Arabidopsis thaliana: one gene and its partners. The protein of the gene in region 3 purifies or fractionates together with the protein of the main gene of each other region. This does not show direct contact. Each region holds a gene or a part of one and is shown on either strand. Other genes may lie near its edges. The genes, in order: CHR11, CHR17, PI and CHR4.

Region 1 (9,048 bases), on a different chromosome or scaffold from region 3:
CAGCATTCTCCTCTTCTTCTTCCTCTGCTCGAAGATCATCTTCTGGTAGCTTAAACTGACTAAGGTTCCGGACAAACTCTGTGACGGCATGGAAATGATCTGGGGAAAAGAAAAGTGCTCTCCCATTCTCTGGTAAGTGAACAGATCTATCGCTGTATTTTCGTCCTTTAGGTTCTCTGTGATCCTCTCAAAACCGCCAAGGTTTGGTTCGGATGAGTTTTGTCCTGAGACGATGACTCCGTGTTTCTTGCAACAAGTCTTGATGTGAGCAAGCAATGTCTCAGGGCTCGAGAGAGATTTCAGTGATTGGTATATGAAGAGTTTTCTTGAATCTTAATTTGTTGTATATGAAGACCGAATTTTGGATAAAGAAGTTACATATTAGTATATTACGCGACAAGAGATACACGAATGCAACTTCGTACTGTATATAGAAACGCATGCTTTTACATTAATATAACATAAACAAAACAAATCAAGACACAGACAAACACGTGTGAACAAATACACAGTACAGGGAAAGGATGGATTTATAAGCTTTTGTTCATGTTCTCTTGGAGAGTGCTGACCAGATGGATAAAACTAGAAGAAGAAGTGAAGCAAATAGAGATAAGGCAAGCGAAGTTGCGATGTAACGACAAAACTTGTCGTAGACATTACAGATCTTGTTCCACCCAACTTCTTCGTTTCCTTTCAACGCTATGTACGCAACTCCTCCCGCCGTTCCCGTTGCAGACGCCAAAATCCCCAGCATCACCTGTTCATATATACATATTCCGGAATTATTACTTAAAACACCCTAATTAACATGGTATATGGAAGTTTCAAAGTTCCTTGTAAAACAAGTTACCATGTCTAACGAGGCTAGGTAAATGGAGAACTGTGCAGTGAACTCAGGTTTCAAGAGTAGAGAGATGGAGACAAGTGTTGATATGAGCGCATAGAAACTAGCTACCACGAGAGCAACCACGAAGTATCTGCATAGATATATAGCCAATTTAACACATTAAGTTTAAACTAGAAAACATTCCATGATTATGATCAAACATGGAGGAATTTAATTAATTAAAGAGACAAACATGAAAGCGGGCGAGTCATTGAACTCGGCGGAGACAGGAGCCGGAGACGAAACTCCAGGGAGCTGAGTCATCTCTGTCTGGTCGCTAGTCACCATTACTATAAGAGCAGTCAGAGTGGCGGAGAAAAGCAGAACTCTTGTTATAATGTCTATTTTACGACAATCTAGGAAACTGGCGGCTGATGAGGGTGGTGGTGTAGCCGACGCGGGAATCGGTTCAGATTTGCCAGTTTCAGGGTCAGGGTTCTCAGTAGACGCCATCAGATGATTCTATAACTCTTTTGTGGATTAGGTTGTGGTTAAGTTTGGACTGTGAGTTATGAAGTTGGCCGCTACATGAGATTATTTGTGAGTATATATATATAGATAGTCCCGGTGATGAGTTGTAGTTATTACCCACACGCCAAGAAACAAATTTATATTTATTTACACTATTCACTAATGTATATATACAGGAACATGAATATCAATTCATTTAATTTCTAGCTTGCATTTTTCATTGTTTAAAATTTCGAAATAGTTTTTGGAAAATTCACTAGATGTTGTAGTTTTATTTCAACGTTAACATATAATGTTTGTTACAACAAATTTTGCATGCATATCTATTTTTGATTAATAGAAAAATTAATATATTTCTATAGGTATAAGTTATGGATAATGTAGATATATACAATGGGAATGTGTTAGGCCAACCCCGGGAAGGTTGGTGAGGAAATTGGGCGACGGTAATCAAAAACAAAATACAAAAAAGGAGAGTAAAGAACAGTAGGAGTGGTTAACCAATCATCTGCATGAAAAAGGTAATTTTATACATGCTCTTAGGTATCACTTTGCTTTCTGCTTGTGGCTGCAAATCATGTAAATGGATATCTTATTTTATGTAAAAACATTAAACTGCAAGAAACAAATGTCCCAGTAGCATGACCACTTCAGCACTTCTCAAACATATTATAATGTTTTAACATGGATAAAGCTATTTCAGATACTAATCCAGTCGAAATAGAGTAGTTTTGTCTTAGCAAAATCACCAAACTTTATCTCTTGATACCAATACAGAGTGACTGCACAAGTCTGAGAACAACACAAAAAAAGTCAGACCTAACAGTAATAATATATATGAACTCATCATGATTTTTATTTCATATCTTAATAATACCTAACTGGTTTTAGTAAATCCAAATATATAAAATTAGAGATAGCTTTAACAAATTGGGGGCGATGATCAATCACAAAGATTAAAAATAGTGTAACTGGAGAATCTTTCTCGAGCAGCTCCAGCATAGTAATAAGTTGGGGAAAATATCGGGCTTGAAAGTGGGTCTTATGGGTCAGTCAGGCCCAACTATGATTAAACAAAGCCCAAATCGCGAATGTTCCAAAACAACTCTCTTGCTCAGGTGGCGGGTAATTAATTACTAATTCCCCGTTCGATGAAGCGACTAGTTACATCGTAGCCATATATTTATTCAGCTTAATCAACGGTTACAAATTACCCTGAAGCTTCGGTCGTTTTGCAATTTGTATCTAAAGTTTCACTTTTTTTTTAAAATCTTTATTTTACTTTCTCACAAGCGAAGCGAACCCTCGATCTCAAGGCGAAAGCAGATTTCGTAGCTTCCATGGCGAGAAATTCGAATTCCGATGAGGCTTTCTCGTCAGAGGAGGAAGAAGAGCGGGTTAAGGATAATGAAGAAGAAGATGAGGAGGAGCTCGAGGCTGTTGCTCGTTCTTCTGGCTCCGACGATGACGAAGTAGCCGCCGCCGACGAATCACCAGTCTCCGACGGAGAGGCTGCTCCCGTAGAAGATGATTACGAGGTAGCTGCAGGCTAATTTCGTTTTGATGGCTGTGATTTTTGAAATCTCAGTGAACTGCATCTTTTTTGTACTTGGAAAGTTGAAATTTCATTTAATGCAATGGATTCGGCGTTCGCGTCTTCCTTCGTTTGTTAGTTTTAGTCGAATTTTTGTTGAGTGAAAGTTCATTGAATGTCTGCGCATGGTGGCTCATTGTGGTATAAGCAGGACGAAGAAGATGAGGAAAAAGCTGAAATCAGCAAACGTGAGAAAGCCAGACTTAAAGAGATGCAGAAGTTGAAGAAGCAGAAGATTCAAGAGATGCTGGAGTCGCAGAATGCTTCCATTGACGCGGATATGGTGCGTTGTTTGAACTATATATTTCAGGTTTTTAGCTACTTTTCGTTCTCGTGCTTTTAAGTTCTGACGATTCTGAATCATTCCATGTGTTTTAGAACAATAAGGGAAAAGGGAGACTGAAGTATCTTCTGCAGCAAACTGAGTTATTTGCCCACTTTGCTAAAAGTGATGGATCTTCTTCTCAGAAGAAGGCAAAAGGAAGGTGTGTTAGATGCAATTTTTTCCTAAAATATCGGTTCATCATTGCTTCTAGCTTCAGAGTAAATATGATGAGCCAGGCCCTGATTTATGTGGTTTTAACTTCTACCTTCAGGGGACGTCATGCTTCCAAAATAACTGAAGAGGAGGAAGACGAAGAGTATCTAAAGGAAGAAGAGGATGGCTTAACTGGATCTGGAAACACACGGTTACTCACACAGCCCTCTTGTAAGTACCTGTATTTTGCTCTTTAGTCTAGGATTACTGTATATTAATCGTCTCTCTAGTCTCGAGCAACAAGTACAATATGATTGACATCTCCGTCCATTTGCGTAACCATACATATTTTTGTGACCTCACAGTTAGTATGTAGTATAGCGTAAATTACTGGGAAAGCTTGAGATTCATCTATTTTTCTTCTCAATCGACAGGTATTCAAGGGAAGATGAGAGATTACCAATTAGCTGGTTTGAACTGGCTCATTCGTCTTTATGAGAATGGCATAAATGGAATTCTTGCTGATGAAATGGTAAATAATTCTCCCCCAACGATCCAAGCAGAATAAGTTCTCTATATTCTGTCATGCTAATCATGAAACTTTTTTTTCCCTGTGGTCTAGGGTCTGGGGAAGACGCTTCAAACGATTTCTTTGTTGGCATATCTTCATGAATACAGGGGAATCAATGGTCCCCATATGGTGGTTGCTCCAAAATCAACACTTGGTAATTGGATGAACGAAATTCGCCGGTTTTGTCCTGTCCTACGTGCTGTGAAGTTCCTTGGTAATCCTGAGGAGAGGGTAAGTCATGAGCTGTCTGCCATTTCAGAATTTCATGTAAACGTTTATCCCAGGATTCTGAAATGTCTGCTAACTGATGCAGAGACATATTCGAGAAGACCTGCTAGTTGCTGGGAAATTTGATATTTGTGTCACAAGCTTTGAGATGGCCATCAAAGAGAAGACAGCACTTCGTCGGTTTAGCTGGCGTTATATTATCATTGATGAAGCGCATCGAATCAAGAACGAGAATTCACTCCTTTCTAAAACCATGAGACTTTTTAGCACCAATTATCGGCTTCTTATCACGGGGACCCCCCTTCAGGTGTTTGCTCTATCTTATTCTTGAATATTTGGACATTGAAGTTTTCTTTGTTAAGTTGCTTCTAATTGAATGTTGAAACAACCTTTCTTGTACGGCTCTGTTTGCACTCTTAACTTTTGCTTTTCCGGGCACTTTTAATATTTACCGTATAATGACTGTGTAGCCTGCTGTACTCATATTGTCCTCATATATGCAGAATAATCTCCATGAACTGTGGGCTCTTCTAAATTTTCTTCTGCCTGAGATTTTTAGTTCAGCAGAGACTTTTGATGAATGGTTTCAAATTTCTGGTGAGAATGACCAGCAAGAAGTTGTGCAACAACTGCACAAGGTATGGATGCACCCATTCCTTGCATTGAGTTTATTCTGTTCTGTGTGAGTCGTAGGTTAATTGCTTTCATGTATCTTTTTAGGTTCTTCGACCATTTCTTCTTCGAAGACTAAAGTCAGATGTTGAGAAAGGTTTGCCACCGAAGAAGGAGACCATACTTAAAGTTGGTATGTCTCAGATGCAAAAGCAATACTACAAGGCTTTACTGCAGAAGGATCTTGAAGCGGTTAATGCTGGTGGAGAACGCAAACGTCTGCTAAACATTGCAATGCAACTGCGTAAATGCTGCAATCACCCCTATCTCTTCCAGGGTGCAGAACCTGGTCCCCCATATACCACAGGAGATCACCTTATAACAAATGCTGGTAAGGCTAGAAATAAACTAGATCCTTCAGATTTCTGTGGAAGTTTTTTATGAAGCATCTCTATATTGTTATTTTAGGTAAGATGGTTCTCTTGGATAAATTGCTTCCTAAGTTGAAAGAACGTGATTCAAGGGTGCTGATATTTTCTCAGGTAAACGCTAATACAGAACAGCTGGATATAATGGTTTCTTACAGTTCATCTTCTCTTTTTCCTTTGTCTATGTAAAGTCTGAGCCTTATTCTTTTCTTTCCACATGTCAGATGACAAGACTTTTGGATATTCTTGAGGACTATTTAATGTATCGTGGTTACTTGTATTGCCGTATTGATGGAAACACTGGTGGTGACGAACGAGATGCCTCCATAGAAGCCTACAACAAGCCAGGAAGTGAGAAATTTGTTTTCTTGTTATCTACTAGAGCTGGAGGGCTTGGTATCAATCTTGCTACTGCAGATGTTGTGATCCTTTACGATAGTGATTGGTAAGTCTCTCATCATTGTCCACTGTAGTTTATGAACTTTCTCTTCACGTTTGACGAGTCTGGCATATTCTGGCAGGAACCCACAAGTCGACTTGCAAGCTCAGGATCGTGCCCATAGGATTGGTCAAAAAAAAGAAGTTCAAGTGTTTCGATTCTGCACTGAGGTTGGTCTCCTCTCCGTGAATTTCAAGTTAAAACAGCCATGAGAGGTTTAAAATTAATTATGTGTTGTTTGTTTACAGTCTGCTATTGAGGAGAAAGTGATTGAAAGAGCTTACAAGAAGTTAGCACTTGATGCTCTGGTTATTCAACAAGGGAGATTGGCAGAACAGAAAAGTAAGTGCGTTATACAGTGATTGCTTTATGCATTGGTTCATCTCTGACAGAATTGGTATTTATCTTAACTATGCAGCTGTCAATAAGGATGAGTTGCTTCAAATGGTAAGATATGGTGCTGAGATGGTGTTCAGTTCTAAAGATAGCACAATCACAGACGAGGATATTGATAGAATCATTGCCAAAGGAGAAGAGGCAACAGCTGAACTTGATGCTAAGATGAAGAAATTCACAGAAGATGCTATACAGTTTAAAATGGATGACAGTAAGGGTGTCACTTACCTACTATTTCCCCTATTAGGTTGTGTGAATATTGTAATGTTTTGATAATCTGTTGTTTTATTTGTTGTAGGTGCTGACTTCTATGATTTTGATGATGACAATAAGGTAACTTGTATATTTCTTTGCATAGTCTTAACTTTCATGTCATATCCCTAGCTTTGCTCTGCATTACTGATGATAAAATTTACTAATATATTTGTAAATTTGTTCATAGGATGAAAACAAGCTCGATTTTAAAAAGATTGTAAGCGACAATTGGAATGATCCCCCCAAGCGGGAGAGAAAGCGCAAGTAATGATTACTTCTGTCTTATACATTGTGCAGTCCTATTTTGCCAGTCTTCATATCTAAAAGAAACATCCCTTTTGTTTTATCTACTGTATCTTCAGCTACTCTGAATCTGAGTACTTTAAGCAAACATTGCGGCAAGGTGCTCCAGCTAAACCTAAAGAGCCTAGAATTCCGCGCATGCCCCAGTTGTGAGTACCTCAACAACCTCCATCTCATTGTTGAATGCCTTTTCCCTGTTTTGATGATTTTCTTACACTAGAAATCTAATTTATTGTCCCTCTTTCAGGCACGATTTCCAGTTCTTTAACATTCAGAGATTGACCGAGTTGTATGAAAAGGAAGTACGTTATCTCATGGTAGGCCTCTCTCAAAACGAAACACTTGATTCCTTTGATGTGCTTAAGAGCGAGTTTTTTTGCCTTATAAAAGCAACTTGCTTCTTTTTGTGCTTTTTGGTTTCAGCAAACACATCAGAAAAATCAGTTGAAAGACACAATTGATGTTGAAGAACCAGAAGGTCAAGCTTGTACCCACTTTGTTAACATGTACCCACTTTGTTAACATGTTTTTCAGCAAACCTATTACTGATTAAGAATTTTTTTGTTAGAAGGTGGGGATCCCTTAACTACTGAAGAAGTAGAAGAAAAGGAGGGATTATTGGAGGAGGCAAGTGAATATGTTTGATGTTAGAGTGGTCTTAGACATTTGATTTGGTAGGCTTTAATTAATTTTTTGTAATTGTCAATCTCCAGGGTTTCTCAACATGGAGCAGAAGAGATTTTAATACTTTCCTCAGGGCTTGTGAGAAGTATGGCCGCAACGACATAAAAAGCATTGCCTCTGAGATGGAAGGGAAAACAGAGGAAGAAGTTGAAAGATATGCCAAAGTATTTAAAGAGCGGTACAAGGAGCTGAACGGTAAGTAACACCTTTCAATGCTAAGTTATGCAGTGTTTTTACATGTTTCTAAGTAATTCCTACCTCCAAAAAGAGCTTATGCTAAGTAAGTTTATCATCTTTCCCTCTAAATATGTAGACTATGATAGAATCATTAAGAACATTGAGAGGGGAGAGGCAAGGATCTCTAGGAAAGACGAAATCATGAAGGCCATAGGGAAGAAACTGGATCGCTACAGAAACCCTTGGCTGGAACTGAAGATTCAATATGGTCAGAACAAAGGCAAGCTGTACAATGAAGAGTGTGACCGTTTCATGGTATGTCTTTTTCTCGTTTCCCTTTTTGCTGTTCTGTCTCATTAATTATATCATGAAGTTTTTGACTGTTGAGGAACTTTGGTGGTGAAAAACAGATCTGCATGATTCACAAACTTGGTTATGGGAATTGGGATGAGCTAAAGGCAGCATTTAGGACATCGTCTGTGTTCAGGTTTGACTGGTTTGTGAAATCCCGCACGAGTCAGGAACTTGCAAGAAGATGCGACACTCTGATTCGACTGATCGAGAAAGAGAACCAGGAGTTTGATGAAAGAGAGAGGCAAGCCCGCAAAGAGAAGAAGCTCGCGAAGGTAAAATAATGCAATATTTTCATGTATAAGGTTGTATTCTTTTGATTTGATTTCTTTAGGTGGTTAATGCTTTTCTGGTTTTTAATCTTTGAAGAGTGCAACACCATCAAAGCGACCTTTAGGAAGACAAGCAAGTGAGAGTCCTTCATCGACGAAGAAGCGGAAGCACCTGTCGATGAGATGAGATTATGTGTTTACGGATCTGTCGAGTCTTTGTTGTTACATATAGTTAAGCTAATGTTAAAAACATAGCAAATGGATTTCATTCTGCTTTCATGAATGTTTGTCCTGGTTTGACTTGGATTTAATGAAATGACTTAATTATAATTTTGTAGACTTCTCTTCCGTAAAGAAACTGAACAAAAGGATTTGAGGCCATTGGATGGCAACTTAGGCTGAAGCTTAAGCAAAAGTTATGAGTTTCTGAGGGATATATGAACAGACGATTTTTTCCACAATTTATTACTTCTTTGTTCAACGGTTGCATTTTATTTACTTAGAGAGGAGAGATCTGATACTTTTGTGGAAAGAAGATGTACATAGGCATTGTTCGTGCAATGTGCAGTGATTGAATGTAGATGTCATTGGATACAACTTACAAGAACGAGGAAGAGAAAATGTGTACACTATATCCGTTTATGCTTCTTTCTACGTTCGCAGACATTTTAAATTACTCCTCCAGATTCATGAAGGAATAAAAACAGGGGACTTCTGATGAATGTCGCTTGAATAAGGCCATTTATTAGTAATTCGTTATTCAAGAAAAATAAACAAGAGAGGAGAGATGGCCGTATGAGAGAATATATTATATATGGACAAATGGTCAATGACAGAAGCTTTAGTCTCTCTGCTTCCATCAAATCTCAGACCCCAAAAATAATCTTCTTTTCTCTTTTTTTC
Region 2 (9,066 bases), 630 kb from region 3:
AGGATTCGAGTCGATTTTTATAATTTTTCTGTACTATTTAATGTCTCATTGTGTATGGATTCAGGTTTCGAGTCTACAGACAGAAGGAAAAGAAGAAAAAAAATCTATCTTTGAAAGACTTCTCTTATCATCTACAAATCTACATTTGTCACACTCAATTGGGAAGTTGTGACAACATGAGAAGAGACGAGAGAGTTATGTTTTGTTCAAATCCGACCACAAAAGTTGATTTGAGATTTACTAAAAACGCACTACTAGGAATGTGGTGAATATTTCTACAAACAAAATAGAGTAAAATACACGTTGAAGAAATAAGAGAAGTCGGAGACAATGCAGTGATGCTTGCGGGTACAAAATATTAGATCCTTGTCTCTAAGGAGCTTCTTCTAACTAATTCTCCGATTCGGAATCAAACCTAGAAGTGATCATAAATCTTTCTGATTACTTAGTGATGGATTCAACACAAGCCTTCTTATTTCCTACGCTTTCCCTGCAGAGACATAAAGTTTTTTTTTAGTTAGGATCAGAAATAGATGGTCTGTCTGCTTTGCATGAATTAACCAGTAAAATGAAAAACTCTTTTTATGTTTTGGAAATGATTTTGAGTACCGAGCTCACATAATCATCCATTGACAGCTGCTTTCGTTTCTTCAGAAGAGATGAAGGGCTCTCATTTGCTTGCCTACCCGAAGGTCGTTTTGATGGCGTTGCACTCTGAAACAAGTTGTAGAACAGATCATGAGAAACAATTCCACAGCATCTCATCAGTAAATGAAAATGTAAACTTAAAATGTTCTTCGCACAAAAAAAAAAAAATGTTCCTTCAAGTCCTCACCTTTGAAAGCTTCTTCTCTTTTCGGGCTTGCCTCTCTCTCTCATCAAATTCTTGATTCTCTTTCTCAATCAACCTGATTAGTGTGTCACATCTCCTTGCAAGTTCCTGAGTTGTGCGGGATTTTACAAACCAGTCAAACCTAAACAAGGGGGATGTCCGAAACGCTGCCTTTAGCTCATCCCAGTTTCCATACCCAAGTTTATGGACCATGCATATCTGATAATCACAAGTTCATCGGGTCAATATCATATTAGAATAAAACAATAACAATGAAATCTCAACAAAGAGTTTGATAAATAGATGTCATACCATGAAACGGTCGCACTCTTCATTGTACAGCTTCCCTTTGTTCTGACCATATTGAATCTTCAGTTCCAGCCACGGGTTTCTGTAGCGATCCAGTTTCTTCCCAATAGCTTTCATGATTTCATCTTTCCTAGAGATTCTTGCTTCCCCTCTCTCAATATTCTTGATGATTCTGTCGTAATCTACAATTTTTACAAAGGAAAACAAGAGGCAGAGCTTACTTAGGATAAATATCCAACTTTGTCGCACTGCAAACACTCATTAACTTTACTTAACAATCTAAAGTTACTAACCATTCAGCTCTTTATATCGCACTTGGAAAACTTGAGCATATCGTTCAACCTCTTCCTCAGTTTTCCCTTCCATCTCAGAGGCAATACTCTTTATGTCGTTCCGGCCATACTTCTCACAAGCCCTAATGAAGGCATTGAAGTCTCTTCTGCTCCATGTTGAGAAACCCTAAAAAATATCAACTCCATTAAATTATAAAAAAACCATCAAAAACAAATGTCAACCCACAGTAAGGTCGAATGGTTTGGCTTGCCTCTTCCAGCAATAGCTCCTTTTCTTCCACTTCTTCAGCAGTTAAGGGATCTCCAACTTCTGCAAAATTATTTCTTAAGTAATAGATTCAGTAAAATAATGTAAGAAAAGAGGGCAAAGACTGAGAAAGACCTTCAGGTTCATCAACCTCAATTGTGTCTTTCATTTGAGTTTTCTGATGTGCTTGCTGAAACCAGAGTGAAACAAATTGCTATTCAGAACTAATCAGACACAAAAGCTGCATAAATTACATAACATGTTGATAAACTTGTTATTCCCACCATAAGGTATCGCACTTCTTTTTCATACAGCTCAGTCAGCCTCTGAATGTTAAAGAACTGAAAATCATGCCTGCAGGATGGACAAGAAATTAGATTTTTACGATAAAAGTACTATAAATAAGACAGGGAAAAGGCTAAATGCAGAGTGGAGACAATTGAGGTACTCACAATTGGGGCATGCGTGGAATTCTAGGCTCTTTAGGTTTAGCTGGAGCACCTTGTCGCAACGTTTGCTTGAAGTATTCAACTTCAGAGTAGCTAAAGGGTGGGTAGAGAAAAGTAAATTGTTGAAGTTAGATATTGTTTAGGAAGACAGGATAGACCACGTAATGAAAAAGTAGAAGTAATATTTACTTGCGCTTTCTCTCTCTTTTTGGTGGATCATTCCAATTTTCACTCACAATCTTTTTAAAATCCACCTTGCTCTCATCCTACCAAACAAAATTAAAAAAGAAATCAGGAAACGATATTCGAAAAACTGCAGAGCATAACCACAGTATGCGTTAAACCTTTCCTTCAATCATTCAATTAATTATCCAAGAATACCTTGTTGTCATCGTCAAAATCATAAAAGTCAGCACCTGCAACAAACCAAAAACTATCTTGTTTGGACATCCCATTACCCATGCAAGGGAGTTACCATTGGAAAAAGGGATAAATAGCACACTTACTGTCATCCATTTTAAACTGTATTGCATCTTCAGTAAATTTCTTCATCTTGGCATCAAGTTCAGCCGTTGCCTCTTCTCCTTTGGCAATGATTCTGTCAATATCCTCATCCGTAATTGTGCTATCTTTAGAACTAAACACCATTTCAGCACCATATCTCACCATTTGAAGCAACTCATCCTTATTAACAGCTGGAAAGCAAAGAAAAGAAATCAGTATATATATGTAAGAGAAAATCCAATACATCTAACAGCCTCAGTACACAAGCACTTACTTTTCTGTTCTGCCAATCTCCCTTGCTGAATAACCAGAGCATCAAGTGCCAACTTCTTGTAAGCTCTCTCAATGACTTTAGCCTCAATAGCATTCTGCATAAGACCAATGCAGAATTAGTTCAAGTTCTCCAGGTCATTCTTACTTCATACACATGGGTACAAGAGTAACCTCGGTGCAGAACCGGAACACTTGAACTTCTTTTTTTTGACCAATCCTATGTGCACGATCCTGAGCTTGCAAGTCAACTTGAGGGTTCCTGCCATAATCCACCCACCTCATTAGGCATAAAAGAAAACACTCATAAATTACAATGGACACAAAAAGAGCCTTACCAGTCACTATCATAGAGGATCACAACATCTGCAGTAGCAAGATTGATACCAAGTCCTCCAGCTCTAGTGGATAACAAGAAAACGAATTTCTCACTTCCTGGCTTGTTATAGGCTTCTATGGAAGCATCTCGTTCGTCACCACCAGTATTTCCATCAATACGGCAGTACTGGTAACCACGATACATTAGGTAATCCTCGAGAATATCCAAAAGCCTTGTCATCTGATACAGATGAGCAAAATCGTTGGAATAAGCACAAAGAACCAAGAAAGATATCACTCAGAAAAAAGGAATCAAAGATAGGAACAATTATTTGTTTGCGTTAATGAATACCTGAGAAAATATCAGAACCCTTGAATCTCGATCCTTCAACTTAGGTAGCAATTTATCTAAGAGAACCATCTTACCTAGAAACAAGAACATGTAAAGAGAAAATAACTAAGCCAATTGCCACATTTCTGAATGATCTACTTGTAATGTAAATCTTACCTGCGTTTGTTACAAGGTGATCTCCTGTAGTATATGGGGGACCAGGCTCCGCACCCTGGAAGAGATAAGGGTGATTGCAGCATTTCCGCAATTGCATTGCTATGTTCAACAGACGTTTGCGTTCTCCACCACCATTAACCACTTCAAGATCCTTCTGCAGTAAAGCCTTGTAGTACTGTTTTTGCATTTGAGACATGCCAACTTTGAGTATTGTCTCCTTTTTTGGAGGTAAGCCTTTCTCTACATCTGATTTTAACCTCCGAAGAAGAAATGGTCGCAGAACCTACAAAGATGAGGTAAATGATTAGCATAAGAACTTAGAGAATAACCTTGATAAAATATGAGTACATACCTTGTGAAGTTGTTGAACAACTTCTTGCTGGTCGTTTTCACCAGAAATTTGAAACCACTCGTCAAAAGTTTCTGCTGAACTAAAAACCTCAGGGAGAAGAAAATTGAGAAGGGCCCACAATTCATGGAGATTATTCTGTAGTAGAAACATATGAAATGAATACAATATTAACTCAAGCAAATCAAGTACAGAAGATAGTAAGAAGCATGTCTAAGGAACACGAAAAGAAAAAAAAACTAAGTTCAACAGACTCAAGCAAGAAAGTAGTTTCAACATAGGCAGAAGCAATCTGACAGAAAAATTGAAGGATCTAAACAATTATAGATCAAAAGATTTGACAAGTACCTGAAGGGGGGTTCCCGTGATAAGAAGCCGATAGTTGGTGCTGAAAAGTCTCATGGTTTTCGAAAGGAGTGAATTCTCATTTTTAATTCGATGTGCTTCATCAATGATTATATATCGCCAGCTAAAACGGCGCAATGTTGTCTTCTCTTTGATAGCCATCTCAAAGCTTGTTACACAAATGTCGAATTTCCCTGCAACTAGCAGTTCTTCACGAATATGTCTCTGCATTATTTAAAATATATCTCAGAATCCTGCCAGGTGCATATAAATGCAACCATTCAAATGTAAGAGCTATTATGACTTACTCTTTCCTCGGGATTACCGAGAAATTTCACAGCACGCAGGACAGGACAAAATCGGCGAATTTCATTCATCCAGTTACCAAGGGTTGATTTTGGAGCAACTACCATATGAGGGCCATTAATTCCCCTGTACTCATGCAGGTAAGCCAACAAAGAAATGGTTTGAAGCGTCTTCCCCAGACCCTAGACCATGAACAAAAACAATAAAGATTAGCATCAGATAACATTAGAGAGCTGAAAAATCTTATTATATGCTAAGATAATTAGTGGTTTACCATTTCATCTGCAAGAATCCCATTTATGCCGTTCTCATACAGCCGAATGAGCCAGTTTAAACCAGCTAATTGGTAATCTCTTAACTTCCCCTGAATACCTGCAATATGAAGAGTATGAAGATCAGATCTCTAAATTCTACAGAATTTATGCAGTCCTACCTAGAAATTGTGAGCTCGCAACTGAAGAATATATCAAACAACTCTACCAATCAAAGAAGTGGGCATAAGGTGTCAAATCCTATAATAACTTCGACTCGCAATAGGACTTGAGCAAACATACGCTATATCAAGATATTAGGAGCAAAACAAAGGTACTTACAAGCGGGCTGAGTGAGCAACCGTGTGCCTCCAGATCCAACTATACCACCCTCTTCTTCTTTTAAACACTCTTCATCTTCCTCTTCCTCGGTTAGTTTGGAAGAATGGCGACCCCTGACGATAAAGTGAAACCCAATAAATTATATTTCTGGAAACTTAATATGAATAACCACAATTTATTTTGAGATAAGTTGCACTCAACACACCTTCCTTTTCCCTTCTTCTGGGACGGAGACGGGTCACTTTTAGCAAAATGTGCAAATAACTCAGTTTGCTGCAGAAGATACTTTATCCTCCCCTTTCCTTTATTGTTCTAATAAATGGAATGATTGAGTTATTTCAATACCTCTGGATACTAAAGACAAGCAGCTCAGTTATTTACTAACTTACCATATCAGCATCTATGGAAGCATTTTGGGAGTCTAAGATTTGCTGAATTTTCTGCTTCTTCATCTTCTGCATTTCTTTGAGTCTAGCCTTCTCACGTTTGCTGATCTCAGCTTTCTCCTCGTCTTCTTCGTCCTACATATAACCATCAAATTATGAAAAGAGTGACCAAATATCCTCACGAGTCACATGAATGTACCATCATAATGAGCGACCACCCATCATTGTAAGCACTTCTAAGCATAAACCTTCAAACAAAGAGAGTCGAAACCAAAAGACACCCAAATATCGAATATACGCTCAAAGGAAACCCTAATCTTACTTAGAATACATTCAGATTTCCAAATACAGCAATCCCCGAATTCACAGCCGACATGCGAATGTAAATCGAAGAGTGGAAAACAGAAACGAAGACATACCTCTTCAGCGTCATCTTCTACGGGGACAACCTCGTCGTCAGAGACAGGTGCTTCGTCGGGCGCAACATCTTCCTCGTCAGAGCCCGCAGAGCGAGCGACGGCCTCGAGCTCGTCATCATCTTCTTCCACATTGGCCTGATCGTTAACTTGCTCCTCTTCCTCCGACGAGTAAGCCTCGTCTGAAGAAACTTCCCGCTTCGAAGCTCTAGCCATCGACGCGCCTCTACGAATCCTGATTTCGTCTGAGAGATCGAATCGAGGGTTCCTGAGTTTTTTTTGCTTTGGTTAGTAAATAAACAAAAGTGAAATTAAAAGCAACAAACCCGACGTTTGAAACGACCGTAGCTTCTATTTTACCCCGTTGATTTCGAGAAATCAAATCTACGGCTGAGATGTGCCACGTTGGCTTGACTTATAAAGATTCTCCCGCCACTTGAGAAGTAAGAGTTTCGGAAATTCCCGCCTTGGAATTCGGGCTTTAAAGGCCCATGGGCTCGAAGTTAAACTTAGAAGAAAGCGAAAGTCAAAAAGGTCAACTTCTCGTTCTTATAACGGAACGGCCTTATCCATTTATCCGCCCGAATCACGTATCTGACACCTCAGCACTTGAAGTTGCGACACGCTACACACCTAAAATTCCAATAATACCCTTTGAAAGAGCCTACACGCTTGTCTCATGCACCTTTGCGTATAGAGGATGAAAGTGGAAGTTAAGAAAAAAAAAACCGAATATTCGTATTTTAATCGCCGTTTCTTTTCTTCTATTAGCTTCTGTTTCGCAAGATCACGACTTCTATATAATAATATATAAGCTCGCCGTATAATTTTCTTGCCGGGAATAATCTCCGATCATCGTCGGAAATTTCCGAATTGTTGTAAAAGAAGTCCAATTTAGGCTTTGGATCCTCAGTTTAATTTATCTGGGACTTTTGGTTGCTGAAATCTCTTTCGGGTTTTGTCCTAATCCTCATTAGTTTGGGTTTCGTGAGTCTCGTTTTATAAGGTATATTTTTGGCTAATTTGCTTCCGAATTCTGCTTTGTTTTAGCTCAATTTTGCCCTTAACATTGGTTGATGAACAGAGGATGATGTGGTTGTGTTTATTGTCTTCTTGCAGAACATGGGACAAAAGAGATTGTTGTTCTTGCTGGCAGTTTTTACTTTTCTTGTTTCATCTTCATATGGTAGAGGTGGTAATGCAACTTCTATAATGATTCTATGTCTGTTTCCTTTATTGGGACTTCCAGTTTTTTTATTCTCCTGAGTCTCTCTGAGCTTAATTAAGATTTTAAACTTTCTGTGTAATGTGAAGTGCTTGGGAAATTGGAAATTTAATCTGGCTACAGTGATTTTTCATTAAGGCCTAATTACATGTTCTATCATGTTTGGAACAAATCAATTCATAATCCTTGTAGCATCATCATATACATAAGGAACCATGAAGGTCAAAATATTGATTTCAAAGCTTTATGTTTTCGACAATTTCATGTTCTTGGTATGAGTTGTGAGGCTACGAAGGAGTTAAGACTGAAGCAAGTGGATTTATGTTAGCTTCTTTCTTCTAACTGCAGTTCTCAAGTTGAAGAGCGATGATGATCGACCTGTTTACAACCATACGCTTGCCGTCACGCTTGTGGAGTATGCCTCTGCGGTAAGTTAATGGCAGATTAGTGAAGTAGTAAAAGACCTTTGATAATGATTTAGCTTCAAAACGTAATACCCTGTAGAACGAATGTCATTTATATCTAGTGTTCTGCAAGTGAGAAGAAATTACACTTGTCCTCTTCATATTTTCATTTATCATTATTTGCACTACTAGAGAAAAGAGATGATGCTGATAACGTACATAAGATGAGTGAATCAAGTTTGTAAGATGTATGCAGGTCTATGAGTCTGATTTGACAAAACTCTTCACTTGGACGTGCGAAAGATGCAATGGTTTGACAAAGGTAAAAAACACATGTTGAAGCAGATCACTGTTTGAACTTTGAAGCCGCAATTATTGAGTTGAGCTCTAACGTTTGTTAGGATGGTGCAGGATTTCGAAGTAATAGAGGTCATATTTGACGTTGAACACTGCTTACAGGTCTGCTCTGATATCATAAGCTACAGCTGGTCATGAACTCATGATGTTTCTTCATTGAACAATTATTAATATCAGTACATGTAACTTGTAACAACAGGCGTATGTTGGGGTGGCTAAGGATTTGAATGCTATCATTATTGCATTTCGGGGAACTCAAGAACACAGGTTTTATTCTAGTCATTGTAATCTAAAAGCTACTCCTTCGCATAAACTTGGTTAATGCTTAATCAATCCAAAACTTGTGCAGCATACAAAATTGGGTCTCAGACTTGTTCTGGAAACAGCTCGATCTGAATTACCCTGACATGCCAGATGCAATGGTACACTTTAACAACAAGTATTTGTCATTGAGTTGGTCTTGTAGTACGGTGGAATTTGTAATAGTTATCCACATTGGCAGGTGCACCATGGCTTTTACAGTGCTTATCACAATACAACTTTACGGCCTGCGGTTTTGGATGCAATAACACGAGTGAAAAAAGTCTACGGGGCGAACATCAACATCATAGTGACCGGTCATTCAATGGGAGGAGCCATGGCTTCCTTTTGTGGTCTAGACCTAGTTGTAATCATCCTTGCATTGAATTTTTTTTTTATCTTATTGTTTTGTCCTTTGAGTTGTTAATGGCTTATATTGGATACAAATCGCAGGTAAATGAAGGTGAAGAAAACGTACAGGTTATGACATTTGGGCAACCTCGTGTTGGGAATGCCGCTTTTGCATCTTATTACAGTTTGCTTGTGCCCAATACCTTCCGGATCACGCATGACCGTGATATGGTTCCTCATCTGCCTCCTTACTATTACCATTTCCCTCAAAAAACATACCACCACTTCCCAACAGAGGTAACAT
Region 3 (6,264 bases):
TCTGTAACTTTTACCTAAGAAGAAATGTATCAAAACTTAAGAATATAATTTGAATAGAATTGTGAAAAGTGTAAAATCAATTGGGTGCGGTGCAATGGACAGAAGGTTCATATACCAAGTGGCAATATTATCTTCGCAGATCAACTTGCTTCAACAGATATTGAGCAATGTGCGGCTGCATGCCCCCACTACAGCCCCACAAGTGCCCATGGTTTTCTAGAAAAAAAAAAACTCATTGTATGAAAATAAATCTTAAATAGAGAGAGCGAGTGCTACACGCCTACACGAAAACGAATTATTTGATTTTTTCTTTCTGTTGTTTCTTTGTTTTCATTGTTATACTCATAATAACAGAAAACGAAATGTTCGGCGATTCATGATTCGCTTGCAGCAAGTGATTTGGTTCAGAAAGTGATTGGGAAAGCAAATCAACTTGTCTTTATTTTATTTTGAGAGAACAAAAAGTTAGAAAGTTGTTGTCCAATTGGACCCTATGGGTTTATCCATTCATTATACATTAGTTGGCGGATAAGGGTTTGTCAGGTTATTAATGTTTATCATCACACATATTCATAATTTTATTTTTATTTTGTTAAAACTGTATTTTTAAAATTATTCATCATCATTTTGTTAGGGGATTAACCAAAATATTTCCTCTCCAATCAGTCATTTGGAGGTTAAGAGGTAGCCACCTGACCAAGTTACCATCACTATTTTGGCGATTTTCTGTGTCACCAATTTATCACGAAAAGCCATGGTAAATTTTCAAACCTCTACACGTCTCATATATCAATTAATTAGGAGCAATGTTTTGAGGATGAATTTTCTCTGTCACCATCAATATTGAAATTGTTTTTTTTTTTTTTTTTTTTTGCTAAAGAATATTGAAATTTTATGAAAGCAAGATTAAACTGCAGAATATTGGTTGAGTGATTACAAAGTTGTCTTTGTACATGTTAACTAAAACGTATTTATGGGTCAACAATGGATAAGGGCCCATATATCGTTAAATATAGTCACTAGTCAGAACCCAATAACCTACATAAACACCATTCTCTTTAGCCTTAAAGAAGAGCGGCCAAGGCTGATTTCTACATTTTTTAGATTTTAGTTTCTTAAGAAAAAAGGTTGTTAATACAGGCTTTTGAAGGGGGAAGATATAAAGTTCAACCACATTTTTTTAATTTTTACGACCATAACCTCTTTGTATGAAGACATATTTATTCAAAGTAAAATTATTGAAGGGTATCCAGACAAAATATTGTATAACATTTTACGTTTACCTTTTTATTTTACTCCAATTTTTTTTCTTTTTTTTTTCTCTCCAAATTAGTTAGAGAACAATTCTAACTTTTAGAAAGAGAAAAGGATCTTCTTCTTTATCACAAATAGCTTATCACAGAATAATAAGTTTCACACAGATCAATTAGTTCGAAACGTTTAAGCACACAACACAACCAATACATAGAGGTCATAAGCAAACAACACACATATAGCTTAAGTAAAAAGTCTGATAGCGAGTATATATGTTGCTCGAGATTAAGACACACAGATTGATAAAGACAAACTAAAGACCACGATATTATAGATAGGAGTTGATCAGGATGAGATTATAAAATCTCGATGATCAATCGATGACCAAAGACATAATCTTTTCCTGAAGATTTGGCTGAATCGGTTGCACTCTATATCCAAACTGCCCATCATGATCTCTCATCATCATTCCTCTTGCGTTGCTTGCTATAGCCATCTCCTGTTGTTGCTGCAATTTCCAAAAACCATATCTTTACATAAACATACTAATAGTTTCAAACCAAATCATTATTAAAACTTATAAATGCATGAAGATTCATTATATGTATACCAGCTGGAAAGTGAGTTGCCGTTGCTCCTCCGCCATCATCTTCTCCTGTTAAGAAAGAATGATGCAACCATTAATACATATTTCAATCCGAAAGCTAAGAAGTAGAGTACTATAAGATTAGTTATATGCTCACATTTCTCCTCTTTGATATAAGGATCTCCATCTGTGCCAAGCAGACCAAATAAGAAGTTAAATATATTCATGTGTATGAATGTATGTAGAAATGTATACATACCTGGTGGTCTCGGACTTTGTCGAGGCCATGTTCAATGGCGTGCTCGACAGCCATCAGATTTTTCAAGTTGAGAGACTGTATATCTTCTCCCTTCAAATGCCTGTAGTCACAATTTCCATGAACTTCTCAATTTGATATTTCAACATTATTATAATCAAATGTTTTATATATATACTATACTAGGGTAAAGATATGGCAATGAAGGGTGAAGAATAATGACCTGAGCTCCAGTTGTAAGCTATCATTCTCTTTCTTGATCCTATCAATCTCATTGCTAAGGTTCTGGAGACAAAAAATATGTATTAGATGAGCAATAAAGGTTTTAAGAATTTAGATCAAACAAAAAAAATACTTAGTAATCTGTACAAACTAAACATAAATATAGATATACAAAGAAGCAATCCATGACAAGTCTCTCTATGTTCATGTTTCATGCAAAGCATATAACACACACACACACACTGACACACATATATGTATATATATTGATATTAGTATATGTAAAAGCATACACAGATATACATGCACAAATACTACTAGGCAGTGACTTAAATGGTATAAAAGCCTCTGTATGCTTATTACCCTATAGAGATATATCTCATTTGTGAGAACTAAACCTACATTTGTCAGAGCTAATTAATAATACATATAATATTTGCATCAAAATTTAATTTAAAAAGGATACTCAAAACTCAAAAGCAATTTTCAAGTTTTCAATTAGTTTTGAAAGCCAGAAACGTAAAATCAGTGTACTAATCAGAAATTCTCATTCCCAGATACATATCACATCCCAGATTTTTCTCTCAATTAATAACTCCATAAACTACGGATCTGATTCGCATAAGATTTGGTCTTGATGGTTTCAAAACACAGTTGGTTAGATATACTCTAGATTATACAAATTAAGCAGGAACAAAAGAAAAGAATAACTTCCATGTTTTGTGGCTCCATGTCTTGTTGAGTACAAGAAAATCAATAAAGACGCATGTTAGGCTACATACACAAAGAAACCTTTGTAGATCTGCATCTAGGGTTAGAGTATTTTTCTTTCTCTTTGACATATTTTAGGAAAAGAAAATTAAATAACCAATTTCATGATATCTAGCTCAGAATATATGTTTTTGAGACAAAACACTATAGTAGATCTGCATCTAGGGTTAAAGATTCAAGGGTCTTTTGACATGTTTTTGGTAAAGAAATTGAAAACTTATTACATGATTTTGGCCATGGAATATTTTTGAGACAAAGAAACTTTAGATTAAAAAGAGAGCAAAATTACCTCATGCTTAGCATCCCATAGTTTCTTGCCAGATAACTTCTGGTATTGGTCCAACATAGCACCAAGATCCATGGAAGGACAACAGTAATCAATCATCTTACCATTACTTGCAAAGATTATGAGGGCAACTTTTGCATCACAAAGAACTGTGATCTCTTTAGCCTTCTTCACCAATCCATTCCTCCTCTTTGAGAACGTCACCACTCTGTTGTTTGCGTTCTCTATCCTCTTTATCTCGATCTTTCCTCTACCCATCTTTCTCTCTCTATCTCTTTCTCAATTTTAGGGTTTGCTATGAAATTGTTAAGATATGGAGGAGAGGATATGTGGTTTATATGAAGAACAAGAAGAGGAGCATTGGTTTTAAAGTAACATTGATGAGATAGAGAGAGAAATGTTTTGATTAATCTTGAGGTGAAGAGAGACTTTGACAGTTTGGGATTGAAAACAAAGCTACTTTCTTGAGGGCACAGTCATGGAAGGCTTGCTTTTGGTTCGCTTATTACACATAGCCAACTCTATTTTCTCTCCTTTTTTTACAGTACCAAGAAGATAAAAAAAAAACTTGAAGTAACGTAATAAAATAAAGTAAAAACAAACTTAGTGATTTTGCTTAATGAACACTCTTTGCATGTGATTGATGTTTATTTTCTTTCATTTGATTTGATCATCTCAGTCTCTCTCGTGATAGGTTAAAGTGTCGTTTAATTAACCTCTGGTCTCTTCCGTACTATGTTTTCTTCAATGAACTGTGTAGAGAAAACAAATTCTAGATATCTGGAAAGATAAAATTCTTCATATGAAATGTGGTCAAACTTTTATTTAGCTTACTCGTGTATGTATATAATTAATTAAATTTAAATTTGAGAGGCAAACATGATAATACCATAATTTCTTATCCAACCACATATATCATCAATTAATTACTTTGGGAAACTATCTTATTATGTCATCAATTATATAAAACGTGAAATAAGATAGTGTCCCAATGATTTTGCAACTAAATCATTTTGCAAATAAATTTCCCATTTTGTCTATCTCGAAAACTAACCATTAAATCAAATGAAAGCAACGAGTTTTGCAACTTTGTAGATTTAAAACCAAAAATCTCTGTAAAGAATTGCTTTTATTTTTACAGGTTCTTACTTTGGCAAAACCAAGACTTGCTATTTCAAGAACTCTATGTCATATATAGGTCTTATCGAATATCGTAGCTACACTAAAAAATCAAACATATTAAATTATTGAAAGTTGAAGATATCACATTGACAAATGAAGTAAATAAAATAAAGTTAAATTCAGATGGTTTAGAAAAAGGAAAAAAAAAAAAGAAAAAGGAGCAGTGTAATTACCAAAGACCTTGGTATAACCATTAGACTTTATCATGCTTACATTGTTATGGGGAAAATGTCTTTGGTTGTTGAAAACAAAACAAGTTTATGGTTTTCTTGATTCACGTCGATCAGACACGTGTCAATTTATTGTGGAATTTTGTGGTCTTATGTTTTGTACTTAGTACGGGCATACTTTTTGGCATTTTCTCGATTATCAAACTATAAAGCCAGAGATTAAAAATCTCCACACACAAAAAAAAAAAAAAAAAAAAAAAAAAGTTGTGAATTCAGGTGAGAAACGTATCCACTGAAACAAAAATACCATATTGTTGGTATATTGAATTAGTAGATAACCTATGTCTTTTTAATATTATTCTAACTTCGGTTCACAATCAGGTAATGTTTACTCGTTGATTGAAAATATTGAGAAGGCAAATTTTGTCTAATTATACATGAAAACTAGACAAATTGGATGAAGAAGATGACTAATTTTCATGAAATATGGTAATATATAGTAGTAATCTCAATGATATTGAAACCCACTCTTTATTTTGCAACCGAATAATCATATATTGAAACTCAATACTAATCACAAGTATAAGACGTTTATAATGACTTGAAAACAAGTCCTTATTCTCACAAATAATCAAATACATGACTATTTAAATAAGGAGAGTAAGGTAAAACAAATACATAACTAGGTTTCGAGTGTGACTCAAAAGAGAGCAACAACAGCAGAAACAAAAGCGACCAGAAAAGTAGCACCACCTAATGAGGAAGCGGCATTTCCAGCTGGAGTAGTGGTTCCGCTAGAGCCTGAAGGTGTTGTGGTCCCACCCGCAGTGGGAGGAGTGGTTCCTCCAGTACTTGGGGTTGATCCAGGTGCTGGGGTAGCACCGGCACCAGGAGTAGCACCTCCAGTTGCACCAGCAGCAACTACAGTGATGGAAAGTTTTTGACCAAAACGACAATGGTCACCGACGGTGCAGATAAAGTATTGTGGTCCAGTGGTGTTTAGCATAATTTTGACCGGAGGAACGGTCATGTGGCTAATGGGTTTCTCTTTCTCACAGTTTTCAAATGCAGCTTCTGATACAACTGCCACATCATGCCTCCCAGCAGCGAAATCAAATTCTGTAATAAGAATATCAACATCAGTCGGTGGAAACTCAATTAATCCCTTTTTTAGCTAAAATATGTTCATAAGAATATAGAAAGAAAGACAGAACAACACCGACATGATCCATGCACGATCCCATAACTATGACTGTTATAAGAACAAGAAAAACAAAGACATATTTCAGCTATAAGAACAATAAAACTCACCGAGCTCGTCGCCTACACGGAAAGTTTTACCGGTAGCCCAAGTAGTATAGAACTCGGGGTCCATAGGTCTCGTCCATTCCGTATCATCACCAACATCGTAGTCCTCCGCGAAGACAACAACGGCAGCGAAAACCAAAACAAGAAACGTAACCGTTTTGAAAACTCCGGCCATTATGTTATGTGTTGAAGAACTCAGGTCACCCCCTTTTCTTTTCTTGGTCGAGAA
Region 4 (6,220 bases), about 11 Mb from region 3:
GAATATAGGACGCAGATATAATGTGGCTTAGAGATCCATTTCCTCGGTTATATCCAGATGGAGACTTCCAAATGGCGTGTGACAGATTCTTTGGAAATCCTTATGATTCAGACAATTGGGTCAATGGTGGTTTCACATACGTGAGATCAAACAATCGAAGCATTGAGTTTTACAAATTTTGGCACAAATCTCGTCTAGATTATCCAGACTTGCATGATCAAGATGTGTTCAACAGAATCAAGCATGAGCCTTTTATCTCAGAGATTGGAATCCAAATGAGATTCTTTGATACAGTTTACTTTGGTGGGTTTTGTCAAACGAGCAGAGACATAAACTTGGTTTGCACAATGCATGCTAATTGTTGTATTGGTTTGGACAAGAAGCTTCATGATCTGAATCTTGTCCTTGATGATTGGAGAAAGTACCTGTCTTTGTCAGAACCAGTGCAGAACACGACGTGGAGTGTTCCTATGAAGTGTTTGGAAGATTGAGATTTCCTTCTTTCTTTGTTTTGTTGAGATTTGGATGAAAAGTATATTTAAAAATGAAGAGTTTATTGTTCGTGCAAGGAATATTCTTTAGCTCTCTAATCTAATCAAATATTTTTTTTGATGGTTAATTTTCTCTGTTTGTTAATGTCATTTTTTGTTTTCCGAGCCGAATGCTAGAAAGTACTAAAATAATCTTCTAGACTTTTAGTGTTTTTGGTTTGAAATGTTAATGTATTGAATAAATTGTGTTGTGAAATGATACGATTTTTGTTTCAAACTTTTTCTGAAATTTCTCAAAGTTTTTGATCTTATTTTCAATTACCGAAGCACAAGTTGTAAAAACGTATATATTTTTTCTTTTGAATATAATTTGACATTACATTAAAAAAAAGAAAGAAATGATACGATTTTGATTTTGGTAATATGAAAAATGATCAATGTAGTTTCATAAGTTCTATCAACGTAGATTTTGTAGTCATTTACCCGATTTGTAGATTTAAGTAGTTATTGGTTTGGTCAGTTATAATTTTGGTTTGGGCCTAGATTCGTTACAAGTTTTTTAAATTTAGATGAGATGGGCTGCCGGAGAAGCCCAACACAACATAGGTGGCTTGCCAATTTGCCCAGATGCTTTCGAGTGTAGGTTATATAAGTTTATCATATCTCCATTGGATTAAAAGTAGGCAAGATTTAAACAAAGTGATTCATCAATAATGATATGATATGTGTCATTCATTTACAAATTATGTAACACATAATAGATATTTTGTACCCTAAAATTTTGAAATTTATTGTACATAAATTTTAGAAAATCTGTTGGACTGTGACTAGTTCTTCAACTTATAGAGAGTTGAGTGTGTTTATAATCACATACTGCCTCTTTAAAAAACGTTAACCAAGTCGAAACTCGAATATGGTACTACCACACATGACAAAATAGAAAAAACACTTGAATGTTTACCAAGTAGTACTTGGTCCATTGGCCCAAAAAAAATGAGAATTTGTGCTCCTTTGAAAGGAGTTTTCAACTGCTAGACCCAACCCAAAAGAATGTACGATTAGGCACATTTTCCATAATTGATGTAATGTAAAGAAACACTTGAATTTTAAGTTTTACATATAATATTTACATTTAATTCATCTTCCTCATGAATATGTTGTTCAATTATCAAAGAACCTACAAAGATACAGTATTATAACTATAAGATCACCAAAGAAGAAAACAATCATTTGAATAACAAAAACAGTAAAACACCATATAATAAAACCGTGTTCTAGATACAAATGTAAACCATAGTATCTCACCTTGCTTATCGATTCATCTTTGTAAAAAAAACAAAAACAAATGTGTTCAACTTGGTTTGCAAAAAACAAATAACACAAGTACACAACCATCCATCCAATAACACAATCACAATATTTGTTTCCCAACATTTATGCAACCTTATTTTTAGTGGACACTAACCATAGAAGAACAAATTTCAGTTGTAGTGTTACAAAGTCCATTAAAATTACGCGTTATCAATTACAAAACCACATCTGTTTTTTTTTTTTTTAAACACTTTAAATTTTGTGTCAGATAAAATGAATATATGTTATGACAGCAATCACTTTCAAAAGGCCTATCAAATGGGTCCCAAATGTATAATCCTAATGTCAATCACAAGTAACCTAAGTTCGGCCCAAATACCTGATGGTCCACTTTACAATTTTTCATTAAATAAATATTAAGTAAATAAAATAACAGTAAAAAAAAAGAGTTATTCAGTCTGAAGAACATTAAATTAAGGTTATTAACGTCAAAGAAAAGATAATCATTTTCTCTGGTGGCGGCGTTTTAAAAACATAGATTTGAAATTTTTAACTTTATTCTATAAAACTAAAAAGCTCTCTGTCTAGTAGTATCTAAACGAATTTAACTAAAACCAGCTAAAAACAAGAAGCATAAAAATAATATCAAAGTAGAAACTAAAGGATCTAATAAGTAAGACAAAATTCGAAATTAAGATCCATGGCGGATTTTTGTCTCTTCTCTCATTGGATCGCACTTGACACAAATGATGGTTCGAGACATAACAGCAGAGAAGGGTCCGGTCCGAACCGAAACGGAGGAAGAAAGCAAAAAGGCAAGACCTTTGTTGTTGGGTTGTTGATAAAGAGAGAGAGAGGGGGACACGTGTAGTGAAAAGAGAGGAAGAGAGGTCACTCTCCGTTCCCGGTTCTGTCTCGTGCGGTGCGATTGTTGGGTGCCATGTCAGAGTCCGTTCCCCTATGAGCCCGGCGAATCCGAATCATATGCCTTTCTTTTCGCTATCTCTCTCTCTCTCTCTCTCCCTTTAACCCAAACCCATCTCTCAAAGACTTGACCTTTCTCTCTCTCTATCTCTAATTTATTTATCGTTTCGCGTGTCGCCTTCTCTCTTTCTCTCATTCTCTCTCTCTCTTTCCCTTCGTATCTCTCTCTCGTGAGGCCGTGCCCTAGAAGAAGAAGAAGAAGAAGCCCCTTTCTCCGGGACTTCAATCCCTAACTTCCGTCGCCGGATTTCTCGTCCTTGATTATCGGAGGACTCTTTAACAACTTTATTCCGATTTCAGATTCCCAGATTTGTAAGCTGCTTTCTCCTTTCTGGGTATTTCCTCTTTTTGTATTTGCTTATGTAATTTCGATGATTTATCTTACTTGGTGAGGGGTTTTGATGCTTGTGTAATGTTAATGCTGTTTAATTAAGGACTGATTTAGTGTGATTCGGTTTAATTGAGTTTCTTTGGGGGGGAATTGGGTTTATCTCCAATGAAGCTTTATGTTTAGTGCCAATGTGTGTTGTTTAGCTCTTTTCTCTATTGATTTGTGTGTGAAATTATGTTTGTTTGAGTTTCATTACCAATGGCTGTCTTTACTTGAATCTCAGTGATTCATGAATTCTACCATCTGTCGTTGATTATTTCAGTTATATAGGATCATTGATCTATGTTTTAGAACTAGTGTATTATTGCCTTAGAGAACACCTGATTTTGAAGTAGAGGAATGTAGTTTGCAGTAGAGGAATGTAATTAAGTATGAATTTAATGGAAGTATTCGTAAGGAGTGAGGGAACGAATCGTTTATTATAAAAGCTGTGTTAAGATTAGATTACTTACTAGGTTTGTGTCTCATCTTTAATTAAGACTTTTGATTACGGATGGTGAGGCTTCTAACGTTATACCACCATTTTTAGGGGTGACATCATTTAGTTTCTTAGCTTCTATAGCTTATATGCTTGGATGACGCTGTTTGATTTCATATCGGTTTAAAAGTGAATGAAATTGTGGTTATGGCCTTATGGTTTGGTACACTGTGCTTTGTCCGATGCTGCATCATTGATTTGAGTTATACTTCATTTAATCTTATCAATTTTTCTGTTCAGTATTTCTGAGCATGTGTACAATTTAAGTATTTAACTACCTCACTGTTGTTTCAGTGTCTCTTGATCTTAGATTATGGTTTACATTACTCGTTTTTTGTTTACAATTTTAGTGTAGAGACAGAGTTTTTTGAAGGCCAGTATTCTTTAGTTACTTCGGTAGCTGTGATTTACACATGAAGGTCTATCCGGTTCTCTATCAAGCATATGGTATGGAAACAGAAGTAGAAAATGAAAGATTCAGGCAGTGAAATGATTAAAAGAGATTGGGTCATGAAGCAGAAACGAAGAAAACTTCCGTCTATACTAGATATATTAGACCAAAAAGTGGATAGTTCTATGGCTTTTGATTCCCCGGAATACACTTCTTCCTCTAAACCAAGTAAGCAGCGGCTTAAGACTGATTCGACTCCTGAAAGGAACTCCTCTAAGAGGAAAGGAAATGATGGGGTAACTTCATTTTATCTTTCTGGTGTTCTTAAAAGTTTGTCTCCTTATTTTATTATATGGTGTTGTTTAATTAATCATTTTTCTTTCCTTACAGAATTATTTTGAATGTGTGATCTGTGACCTTGGTGGTGATTTATTGTGTTGTGATAGTTGTCCTCGGACCTATCATACCGCATGCCTCAATCCACCTCTTAAGGTAAATGATTTTTTTTTTTTCCATGTGTCGTTTGTAGTCGTAGATTCGCAACACCTAAATTTGGGAAACTTGTCTTACTCCTTATCTCGTCTCCTCCAGCGGATTCCAAATGGTAAGTGGATCTGCCCAAAATGTTCCCCAAACAGTGAAGCACTCAAGCCTGTCAATCGTTTAGATGCCATTGCTAAGCGAGCAAGAACAAAAACCAAGAAAAGAAATTCAAAAGCCGGACCAAAGTGCGAAAGAGCTTCTCAGATTTATTGCAGTTCTATAATTTCTGGAGAACAATCTTCAGAGAAAGGGAAATCTATATCGGCCGAAGAGAGCAAATCCACAGGAAAGGAAGTTTATTCTTCCCCGATGGATGGCTGTTCAACTGCTGAGCTTGGTCATGCATCTGCGGATGACCGACCTGATTCATCGTCTCATGGAGAAGATGATTTGGGGAAACCCGTCATACCCACTGCAGATTTACCATCTGATGCAGGATTAACGTTGCTGTCCTGTGAAGATCTCTCCGAATCTAAACTATCAGATACGGAGAAAACTCATGAAGCACCCGTGGAGAAGTTGGAACATGCTTCCAGTGAGATCGTGGAGAACAAGACAGTTGCTGAAATGGAGACTGGAAAAGGTAAAAGGAAAAAACGGAAGCGTGAACTAAATGATGGGGAAAGTCTTGAAAGGTGCAAGACTGATAAGAAACGCGCGAAGAAAAGTTTGTCCAAAGTGGGTTCCAGTTCTCAGACTACCAAATCACCGGAGTCTTCGAAAAAAAAGAAAAAGAAAAATCGTGTGACTTTAAAATCCTTGTCCAAACCTCAGTCCAAGACAGAAACACCAGAAAAAGTGAAGGTATGATTTCCTACTCATGATAGATTTTGTAGACATTCTACTATGCTGATACTAGGGAAATGAATTGTCTGAAACCTTAAAATGTTGCATCCACGCCTTTTTCTTAAGTGTGTTGTAGCACTAAAAAGATATAAAAGAAAAAAAATTCAGAGATCAGAGATTTGGTAGAGTTACAAGATTCAGAATCGTTTCAAGATTGTTTGACACTCTGTATTTAATGTTGAGTATCTTCTGCATTAATGTAAAGAGTCTTTGGTCAATATTGCATGTAGTGTTTCTTGTTCTGTCCTGAAGATTGTGGCTATTTTAAGTTCTTATATAACCAGAGTGACATTTTGTTTTGCTTATCATTTTGCGACTCTTCACAAACTCAATATTGTTTTGCCTGTTTATTAGTATAGTGGTTTCTCACAAGTAGTTATGATACATGTGACTATACCTCTGTTTCGGCAGATGAATTATGGATACCTCTTTTAACTGCAGGAGCTTGGAAATAGTTTGATTTTTTTTCTTTAGGAATTTAGAGTTGAAATTTCTTGATGGTCCTATTGATTTCTTTTTTTATTCGTTGTTGTTCTTGCATCATCTTTCATTTAGTATATGTTCTTAACCACTTATACGTACTAATGCAGAAGCTTCCCAAGGAGGAACGTCGTGCAGTACGTGCCACTAATAAATCTTCTAGTTGTTTGGAAGATACAAACTCTCTTCCGGTTGGAAACCTCCAGGTATCCATCAAAATAAAAATGTTGTTCCTTCAGAATTATCTATTATGATGCGCCCTCATTTCTGGTGACTCATGTGTTGCTCATGCTTGTTAATATCTC

Evidence for each region.
Region 1: the proteins of PI (region 3) and CHR11 purify together in Arabidopsis thaliana (affinity purification with mass spectrometry, with the first as the bait; one study listed by BioGRID). This does not show direct contact.
Region 2: the proteins of PI (region 3) and CHR17 purify together in Arabidopsis thaliana (affinity purification with mass spectrometry, with the first as the bait; one study listed by BioGRID). This does not show direct contact.
Region 4: the proteins of PI (region 3) and CHR4 purify together in Arabidopsis thaliana (affinity purification with mass spectrometry, with the first as the bait; one study listed by BioGRID). This does not show direct contact.

The regions. Positions count from the first base shown.
Region 1 is NC_003074.8:1,938,369-1,947,416, forward strand, and holds CHR11 (chromatin-remodeling protein 11), read left to right. Parts: upstream 1-2,604; 5' UTR 2,605-2,697; coding exon 2,698-2,895; intron 2,896-3,102; coding exon 3,103-3,234; intron 3,235-3,329; coding exon 3,330-3,436; intron 3,437-3,547; coding exon 3,548-3,660; intron 3,661-3,863; coding exon 3,864-3,961; intron 3,962-4,051; coding exon 4,052-4,231; intron 4,232-4,313; coding exon 4,314-4,535; intron 4,536-4,731; coding exon 4,732-4,866; intron 4,867-4,948; coding exon 4,949-5,231; intron 5,232-5,308; coding exon 5,309-5,382; intron 5,383-5,492; coding exon 5,493-5,713; intron 5,714-5,789; coding exon 5,790-5,877; intron 5,878-5,955; coding exon 5,956-6,049; intron 6,050-6,125; coding exon 6,126-6,320; intron 6,321-6,401; coding exon 6,402-6,436; intron 6,437-6,545; coding exon 6,546-6,622; intron 6,623-6,720; coding exon 6,721-6,810; intron 6,811-6,908; coding exon 6,909-6,978; intron 6,979-7,084; coding exon 7,085-7,139; intron 7,140-7,229; and 12 more. Other genes in the region: AT3G06390 (Uncharacterized protein family (UPF0497)), read right to left, coding at 545-757, 851-977, 1,080-1,339. UniProt on the Arabidopsis thaliana protein: Possesses intrinsic ATP-dependent nucleosome-remodeling activity. Constitutes the catalytic subunit of several complexes capable of forming ordered nucleosome arrays on chromatin. Involved in the formation of nucleosome distribution patterns.
Region 2 is NC_003076.8:6,195,718-6,204,783, forward strand, and holds CHR17 (chromatin remodeling factor17), read right to left. Parts: upstream 6,450-9,066; 5' UTR 6,342-6,449; coding exon 6,129-6,341; intron 5,845-6,128; coding exon 5,713-5,844; intron 5,636-5,712; coding exon 5,529-5,635; intron 5,437-5,528; coding exon 5,324-5,436; intron 5,103-5,323; coding exon 5,005-5,102; intron 4,913-5,004; coding exon 4,733-4,912; intron 4,650-4,732; coding exon 4,428-4,649; intron 4,218-4,427; coding exon 4,083-4,217; intron 4,014-4,082; coding exon 3,731-4,013; intron 3,649-3,730; coding exon 3,575-3,648; intron 3,464-3,574; coding exon 3,243-3,463; intron 3,167-3,242; coding exon 3,079-3,166; intron 3,003-3,078; coding exon 2,909-3,002; intron 2,826-2,908; coding exon 2,637-2,825; intron 2,547-2,636; coding exon 2,512-2,546; intron 2,397-2,511; coding exon 2,320-2,396; intron 2,224-2,319; coding exon 2,134-2,223; intron 2,036-2,133; coding exon 1,966-2,035; intron 1,872-1,965; coding exon 1,817-1,871; intron 1,745-1,816; and 13 more. Other genes in the region: AT5G18630 (alpha/beta-Hydrolases superfamily protein), read left to right, coding at 7,248-7,320, 7,699-7,778, 8,011-8,076, 8,166-8,213, 8,311-8,378, 8,461-8,533, 8,614-8,778, 8,865-9,059. UniProt on the Arabidopsis thaliana protein: Possesses intrinsic ATP-dependent nucleosome-remodeling activity. Constitutes the catalytic subunit of several complexes capable of forming ordered nucleosome arrays on chromatin. Involved in the formation of nucleosome distribution patterns.
Region 3 is NC_003076.8:6,826,572-6,832,835, reverse strand, and holds PI (K-box region and MADS-box transcription factor family protein), read right to left. Parts: upstream 3,933-6,264; 5' UTR 3,634-3,932; coding exon 3,379-3,633; intron 2,382-3,378; coding exon 2,320-2,381; intron 2,200-2,319; coding exon 2,100-2,199; coding exon of another isoform or gene 2,064-2,099; exon of another isoform or gene 2,028-2,063; coding exon 1,998-2,027; intron 1,910-1,997; coding exon 1,865-1,909; intron 1,763-1,864; coding exon 1,628-1,762; 3' UTR 1,321-1,627; downstream 1-1,320. Other genes in the region: BCB (blue-copper-binding protein), read right to left, coding at 5,428-5,846, 6,039-6,210. UniProt on the Arabidopsis thaliana protein: Probable transcription factor involved in the genetic control of flower development. Is required for normal development of petals and stamens in the wild-type flower.
Region 4 is NC_003076.8:18,090,066-18,096,285, reverse strand, and holds the start of CHR4 (chromatin remodeling 4), read left to right. Parts: upstream 1-2,378; 5' UTR 2,379-3,098; intron 3,099-4,005; 5' UTR 4,006-4,123; coding exon 4,124-4,342; intron 4,343-4,436; coding exon 4,437-4,538; intron 4,539-4,637; coding exon 4,638-5,393; intron 5,394-6,025; coding exon 6,026-6,121; intron 6,122-6,220. Other genes in the region: AT5G44820 (Nucleotide-diphospho-sugar transferase family protein), read left to right, coding at 9-491. UniProt on the Arabidopsis thaliana protein: Chromatin-remodeling protein that binds DNA through histones and regulates gene transcription. May specifically recognize and bind trimethylated 'Lys-27' (H3K27me3) and non-methylated 'Lys-4' of histone H3. Probable chromatin remodeling factor.